2 linked regions of the Mus musculus genome follow. The protein of the gene in region 2 purifies or fractionates together with the protein of the main gene of each other region. This does not show direct contact. Links are inferred from orthologs where the notes say so. Each region holds a gene or a part of one and is shown on either strand. Other genes may lie near its edges.

Evidence for each region.
Region 1: the proteins of Zc3h4 (region 2) and Wdr82 purify together in Homo sapiens (affinity purification with western blotting; 4 studies listed by BioGRID and IntAct, with this or other methods). This does not show direct contact. The link is inferred for Mus musculus from reciprocal best matches to the Homo sapiens genes ZC3H4 and WDR82.

Annotation. Positions count from the first base shown.
Region 1 is NC_000075.6:106,169,447-106,174,023, reverse strand, and holds the start of Wdr82 (WD repeat-containing protein 82), read right to left. Parts: upstream 3,096-4,577; 5' UTR 2,806-3,095; coding exon 2,645-2,805; intron 1-2,644. UniProt on the Homo sapiens protein: Regulatory component of the SET1/COMPASS complex implicated in the tethering of this complex to transcriptional start sites of active genes.
Region 2 is NC_000073.6:16,435,119-16,438,430, reverse strand, and holds the end of Zc3h4 (zinc finger CCCH domain-containing protein 4), read right to left. Parts: coding exon 2,921-3,312; 3' UTR 735-2,920; downstream 1-734. UniProt on the Homo sapiens protein: RNA-binding protein that suppresses transcription of long non-coding RNAs (lncRNAs). LncRNAs are defined as transcripts more than 200 nucleotides that are not translated into protein.

The sequences.
Region 1 (4,577 bases), on a different chromosome or scaffold from region 2:
ACACACAGCTAAAACGTACACAGAGAACGTGTGCATGAAAAACTACTTTCAATAAAAAAAAAAAAATCCTTTTAAGCCAAGACTGAGGCCAGAGGATTGCTGTTGGAAGCCAACCAGCACTATAGCTACAGACAAAGTTCCACTGTGGGGTGTAGTATCTTAAAAACAACAAACAAAAATCAGCTGTGTTTTAGCTATTTTCAAATACCCAAATTCTACTACTGGTATTATCTAATAAAGATGTTACTTCCAAAGAAACAGTTATTTTCTTCTACTGTTGGAATTATTGGATTATTCTTCTATACATATATATTTTTACATTTACTGATTTTATGTATATGAGCATTTTGTCTGCTTGCTTGTATATATGGGCACCCTATGCAGGTCTGATGCACATGGAATCCAGAAGAGAACATCAGATCCCCTGCAACTGGAGTTAAATGTAATTGTGAGCCTCCACGTGGGTGCTGCTGATTAACCTAGGTTCTCTGCAAAATTAACATGCGCTCTTAACCACATGTTAGCCATCTCTCTAGCTCCTGGACTTTTTTCCCCCCACAAACTTCTCTCTTTATGAAGACTTCTTTATGTTATTTATAGGAGTACCCTTGTAGCTGACTTCAGACACACCAGAAGAGGGCATTGGATCCCATTATAGATGGTTGTGAGCCACCATGTGGTTGCTGGGAATTGAACTCAGGACCTGTGGAAGAGGTGCTCTTAACAGCTGAGCCATCTCTCAAGAAATCAGAATTAGGGGTCAAATCCCCTGGAACTAGTTACAGATGGTTACAAGGTGTAGGAGTCCACTTGTTCCTCTCTAAGAGCAAGTGCCTGTAGCCATCTCCAGCCCTTACATTTCCTTTTTGGGACAGCTGTTCAAGCTGCCTTGGATTCGCACCCCCAGCTCCCAAGCGCTGAAATTATAGGCACTGCTGGACACGTTCTTTTTTCAAGAAAGTTCTTTGGAGCATTGTAACTTTCTGTAAGTTTGTAATCATGTAAAAAGGTTACATGCCTGAATAAACATTTTTTTCAGTCTTAGTGTTTTATTCCTTTGAATAGGATATGCATTTCCATTACAGATTTGGGGGGGAGATTCTAAGCTATGTATTGCACCAAACATGTCAGACAAACCAATTTCAAATTACTTGTAGTTCCAAACAGAATCAAATAGTCAGACCAGTGTATGATAATAATCAATACACAAATATGAACATCAATTCAAATAACTATTTGTCCAGTTAGTAATTTTCTCTTCCCCAGGATCACCACTGTAGGAAACTCTCCCACATACAGCAAGCTCAAGTCCAACGACAGTTACGTAATACTTTGTTGGAGCTCCAGCGAGGAAACCCATCAAGGACAATATCATATACAGCTCATTCTACAATAGCTTTACTTTAGATAAACTCAGAGACAAGTTCCAAAAGAAAACTATTATTTGAAAAAAATAATAAACAAAGAGAACAGCTGCAAAAAGGAGAGAAAAAGCCAAGGATTCAAAAACAGGTAACTTTAACATAATGTCGAAAACAGTAGCTATTAAACTAAACACCTCCTGCTTAGGAAGGAAGCTGAAGTTGACAAAGGGAATCAAATTTAGCCTAAACTAGTTTCTGCTACAAAAGAGGTCACTGCTTACTTATCGAGGATTTGAACTTCCAGAGATGAGACAGGCAATGTCTTCCTCACACCCAGGCTATGAAAACGGCAAAGATACACAAGTTCTCCAACTAACATAATTTCCATAACCAGTTCCAGAATTCCAAAACTTTGATAACTATAAGCAAACCACAATCTGGCGGTTATTGTTTTTTGTTTTTTAACTGTTTTGAGTCAGGGTCTCTCTGCTATGAAGTCCAGAACTCAGGGTCTGACTGCCTCTATCGCCCAAATGCTGAGATTACTGGCTAAGCGGCCAAACTTGGGTTTTTTTTGTAATGCAAAAGGAAACACTAAATTGTTCCGGAATGCTTTCTTTGTTTTAAAGAGAGCTCACATTCTGACCAGAATGGGGCGGCCAAGTTCTCAGGAGTCTGGCAAAGAAAAGTTTCCAAGAGTCTGTTTAGTAAGTTAACTGTAAGCCTGGGTATTGGTACTGGGAAAGGACAGCAAGCTCACATGGGCACAATCGATAAATCCTGACAGCTTAAAAACTGCATCCCGCGGGGCTTGATTGCAGAAAAGCCGCGCGGGAAGCTGAGGGGTAGGGGGCGGGCACCGTGCCAGGGCTGAATCCAGGTCACTGCTGTGAAGGCAGAGAGCTGGACGCCACTGATGGACAGAACACAGCTCCTGCCGTTCTGCATCGAGCTCAGAGTCCACCCGCACATTCTGACAGTCGCCAGGGGAGTGGAAAGGGCTATCCGTCCGGCTGCAGGGTGCAGGGACATGGCGTTTAAAGGTCAAGGTCAAGGTGGGGTTTGGCAAGCGGGAAAAGCGCGCTCGGAAGAGAGCAAAGACACATGAACTAAGAACCATCATCATCTTAAAGAGGATCTCCTGCAGCACTGCGGGATGGAGGTGGCCCTGGCAAGAGCGCCTGCACCACATGCCTGGGGTTGGGGGTGGGGGCTCAGTCGGGGACCAGCGACAGAGGGAAGGAGAGGGGCACTTGGAACTCGGCCACTATCACACTCACTTGCCCTCCTGGCAGTCATAGAGCACGATGGAGTCATCATCGCTGCTAGAGATGACCGTCTCGCCATTGGGACTAAAGTCAAAGCAGTTGATCTTGTCTGAGTTCTCGCGGAACACCTTGGCGACGCGGAAGCTCCGGAGCACGCTGTCGGTCAGCTTCATGGCGGCGGCGGCTGCTGCTGCTGAAGGCAGCGGCGGCGCAGGGCCGGGGCGGGGCCGAGAGGCGAGCGATCGGGCGGGCTGCTCAGGGCCAACCCCGGCGGTGCGGGCGCCGCGCTGGAGACGAACCGAAGGACGGCTGACAGTGGGGCTGCCGCGTCCTCTTCCTCAGGCGACGCTCTCTCGCCCGGACGACGGGACCTCGCTGACCGTTCTTCTCCGGAGTCAATTCAGGGCCAACCGGCGCTCCGCCGGCTCATTGTGTCCGCCATCTTGAAGGGAGAAGCAAAATCAGAGGGCGAGGAGCTTGTGTCGCGGCGGACGCCGGGAAAGGGGGCGGGGAGGGAACGGAGGCGCGAGCTGGGGGAGGGGGGGCGGGACGATGACGTCAGCGGGGCGGCCTCCCGTTGCTGAGGCCCCGGAGCTGGAGCCCGCGGTTCTGGGGTGTGAACCTGCGGGCGTGGAGCATCTAAACCCTCTCTCTCGAGGGCAGGACTTGAGGTCGCCTCGGGGCTAGTGCCTTTGTGGGTGCTCTCAAGCCCCGGGGAGACGCTGGTGTCTCTGAGGCCGCAGGACCTGGCGGAGAGGCCTGCTCGTGTGTGGGTGTGAATCAGGTGAACCCATCACCGACTGACTTAACCACTGCACGGCCGAGCCAGGAGGCTTCGATTTGTTAGTTGAGTGATGTACAACATACACTTGCACGAAGTTTTAAGTGGCATTTTCAACTGGGTTTATATTAAACTTCAGAAGCTTGGAACTTCTTTTAAAATTTAATGAGAGTCGAAGCGCATGAAGATCCCTAACTTCTAGTGCGGGAGGAGGGGGAACCTTAGGAAGGGACATTTCACTCACTGGCAGGTGATTGCAAAGGCATGACAACCAGAGTCCCTTATAACCTGGGTTGACAAACGACGAAATGGAACACGAGAAAAAAATGGAGCCTTCTTGAAAAATGTGCGGGGGGGTTGCATCTCAGGTTCTTAGGTTAAAGAAAAAAGGTAGCTAGATAGAACTGGAAGTGGTTGGCTGAGGGAAAACGACAAGATTGTAAGTTTGTACTGCAGTTGTCTCCTGACAAAGGGCAGAGTTCCTGGCTACAATCTGTTCCGGGGTGTGAGGAAGGGAAGGAACCAGTTTGAGTGAAACCTGAATGGATGGCAACTTTCCAAATTGCAAATCTGTTCTAGAAAAACCTTCCACAGGTGGTTGCACTCAATCCCCAGTGATTGCCTTTGAGTTTAGGTGATCCAGGTGATCCAGGCTGCTATGGAGCTTGAGATAGCAAGGACAGATCTGGTGCCATGTGCCCGACTTGCTGTGGGAACTGAAGTTTTCTGAAGAGCATCTACAATAAAGATCCTGCAGACTGGCTGACTACAACATCGCAATTGTGGAGACATCAAATGTAGGCAAAGGATCTGGAACTATTTTAGGCCTCTTTAAAAACTAGTGTGTGTGTGTGTCTGTGAGTGCGTGCACACATGCTTTTACCTTCTGAGCCTTCTAAGGTGGCCTTGCTTTAGACTTTAAATAGCCATTTACTCTAACTTCCAACATTCTCCTAATAAATTTCTCGAGAGACATCATTCAGTTTAGCTTCATTCACCCTAAAGCTAAGATGGCTGTAACATCACCTGAAATCTATAATTTCCCTACTATACAGCTTTGCTGTGTGGCCCATCTACTTGATATTTTCACAAATATAATTGATCAACATACTGAATTTGTTTTGGGGGGGTGCTGTTCTGTGACTACAAATTTGTGTAATTTCT
Region 2 (3,312 bases):
ACATGCCTTAGCACTTGGAAGATAAGAGATGGGAAATTCATGAGTTCATGATCATCCTTGGCTATATGAAGGCCAATGAAACTCTCAAAAGAAAAAAAAAAAAAGACAATTAACCTAGGCTTGCTAGGCTGGACAAAGATCCAAATTCAAAGTTCACTGAACCGGTACAACTTGTTAAAGGCCAAGTTAAACCATCTTCAGTAGGGTAATATTTGTAAGGGTTTGTGTGTGCATTCTGTACACACACAGAGAGAGATGGTAGTTAGCTTGTTAGTGTGTACCTAGAAACCTAGCACACAGGAATTGAAGGCCGAGTTTCAGGAATTCAAGGCCAACCTGGAGACTGTCAGAGGGCTGAGAGCACAGTAGGTGGGTAAATACAGCCACAGGCAGCCTGCATGCATTTCTGAATGTATAATCAGGGTTCTAGTTATATGAAGTCTTACATGACTGATTTTTTTTTTTTTCCTTTCATCTCAGGTCTAGCCCAAGCTGGCCTCAAACTCTGCATCCTCCTGCCTTAGCCTCCTAAGTGCTAGGATCACATGCCTGCACACCTGCATTGGTTATCACTGTTATTTGAGTGTCTGAGGGCTGGGGAATGTACCAGGCCTGGTGCTCCCCAGAATGCATGAAACCCTGGCCTTCATCTCACTGTAATGAAACAAACCAGACAACTCCCCACCCTCCTTCTTTGTTCCCTGACAGGGCAGAGATGAGACTAGACTCACAGACTGTTTAAAATAACTGCATCCTTTAATGGCAGTAATACAATTACTGGATTAAGAGACCACATGAGAGAGAAGGCAGGTGAGGTTTCTGGAAGACAGATACTGAGTACAAAAGGGGGTGGGAGAGCCATGCGACGATCATTGTAAAAATACAGTACGTTATATACATATTTGCACCATCGACTTTCAACTCAGAAATACTATTTACACATTTGTTACAATCCTGGTTAGAGAACAATTTTTCTTTAAAAGTGTGGCCTGATGGTGAGTGGGGAGTCAAGCGGATGTCCTTGCCCATGAGGGTCTTCGGTTAACTGTTCCAAGAGGAAAGCTCCAGACTCCATCTTACCCACAGATTTCAGCCTTAAAAATTCATTTAATTTTTCTTTAGCAAAAGGACAGTTTTCTTTTTCTAATATAGACCAGACTGGCTTTGAACCTGTAATCCTCCTGACCCTGCCTCCTGAGTGCTGGGATGACAGGTGCCCACTACCAAGCCTGGCTTTTACAAAAAGGGGGTTTTCAAAGGGGTGTCGGGACCCAAACACTGCCACACTGTACTCACCCTACCTATCCTATGCTCACCAGGGCCCCAGCCTTGGCCTCAGGGCCTCGTGGCCAAGGCTGGGGCCCAAAGACAAATCTCATTGATGATTGTTTAAGAAAATAAAACAAAATAAAAAACACAAGACAAACCAACCAACTTGATCTTGGTGCACTGACCCCAAGGGTTGTGAGGCTGTGGGGCACAAGCCCCTCCCACCCTGGCTACAGGCCCCAAACTGTTTTGAAGGGATTTCTCTTTGGGGTGTGGAGGGTGGGATGGGATGTGGGAGCCTGTCCCCTCCCGAGGTGGAGGGGAATCCACTGGCTGTGTGCGTCAGGTCTCCTTATTAACAAGAAGGAAGCAGTTGGGCCAAGAGACCCAATATAAAAGAGGCAGCCTGCAAGAAAGCGGACTTGTAGGGCCTGGTGAGTGACTCAGAGAAACCTTCTGCAGGTCTTACCCAGTTCCCTGATCCAACCTTAGGGAGAGGGTCAAGGAGAGTCTCTGCCCCTTGGCGCTCCCACCCCCATTCTTTGGACAAGGCCAGCCCTAAGGAGGCTAGTGGTGGCGGCTGCGGGAACGCCTCCACTATGTGGGATATGGCAGGTAACTCTGGGCCTCCCCACTTGAAGGGGCTTGGTCCCTTTCCTAGAAAAGGCCCAACACATCAGCTGGACACCTGCTATTTCCTCAGGTCCCATTTGGGGAAGGACCTATTAATCCAACACAACAGATCACTGATGCCCAGCTTCTGTCAGCTTGGGAGGAAAAAGCAAACACTATCCGGTACTCTACAGATAACATGGCTAAGGGGTGTGGAAGCAGCTAGCAGACACACTGTGCCAGGGCCACTCTTGGCCTCTCTCCTTGGGGGTCTGGCAGGTGGCCACACCACGGATCCTTGAGCTGTCTCGAGGGTCAGGCCAGTGGCACAGGGTAGGTAATACTGAGGGAGAATGCTTCAAGGGGCTGTCCCACTCCTGCCAGGCCTGCTACCCCACAGGTCTGTCTACCAAGAGTCTCCCGCAGAGCTGGTGGGTGTCACTTTCAGGACAGACAAACCCTGGATGGACAGACGGACGGAGGATGTGGGATGTACAGGCTAGAGCAGGTTAGGGCCAGAGGGTTGCCGGGCCCTTTCTCTCCTGTTGACATTTTCTCACTTCACTGTTGCTTTGTCCTGAAGCAAGCTGTCACAGGCTGCATGCTAGAGAGGACAGTTGACCCTGGGGCTCTAGGAACTCCTGCACCAGCTTCTCCACGATGTGATGTGGTTCTGTCAAACTTGCAGCAGCACAGGGTGAGTGAGTGGCCGTCAGTGCTTCCCCAGACAGCTATGCATCCCTCAGTTCCAGGGAAGTCCCAGGCTGGGTACTTGCCACTATCCAGTGCAGGGTATAAGTTGCTCACTGGGCAGAGGGGAGCCCAGGAGCCTGCAGCACTGACCAGAACCCAAGATGGTTAGATACAATTTATGACTCAAAGAAAGTACTATTTAAAAATGGGGAAAAAAGGGAAGAAAAATGTGAAGAAAGAACACCCTGCCCACCTGCCCCACCTCCCGCCTGTAACTCTGGTTGCTGCCCTTAAATGTCACCCTGGGAGGGTGGTGGAGTGGAGGGAGCACTGGCCCCCAGTGACACTACTGGCAGAAGGGGGAGGCTGTGGGGTCAAAGCCTTTAAAAACGTCCTTCAGGGATCCTGCATCCTGCTCACCCTCACGGGCAGGGCTGTTGCCAGCAAAGGGGCTCCCTGTGCCTGTTTTGGGGGCCGGCTTTACAGTCCCAAAGAGAGTGGGCACTGGCAGGTTGTGTACCCCAGGCTGGGGTGTGGCCCCCTCAGGGGGCGGGGTGGATGAGGCAGCAGTGGGGGCTGCTGTGGCCTTGGGCCGGGGCCGGTTGTAGCTATTGTATCTGTCCGTGGCTGTGGCCCCATCTGTGCTGGCCTTCCCTGTCTCTGGCTGCTCCAGGGCAGACTTTCGGACAAACGGAGGCTCTTTTGCCTTGGAGGCTGAGCCCTTGCCATTGCCCTCAG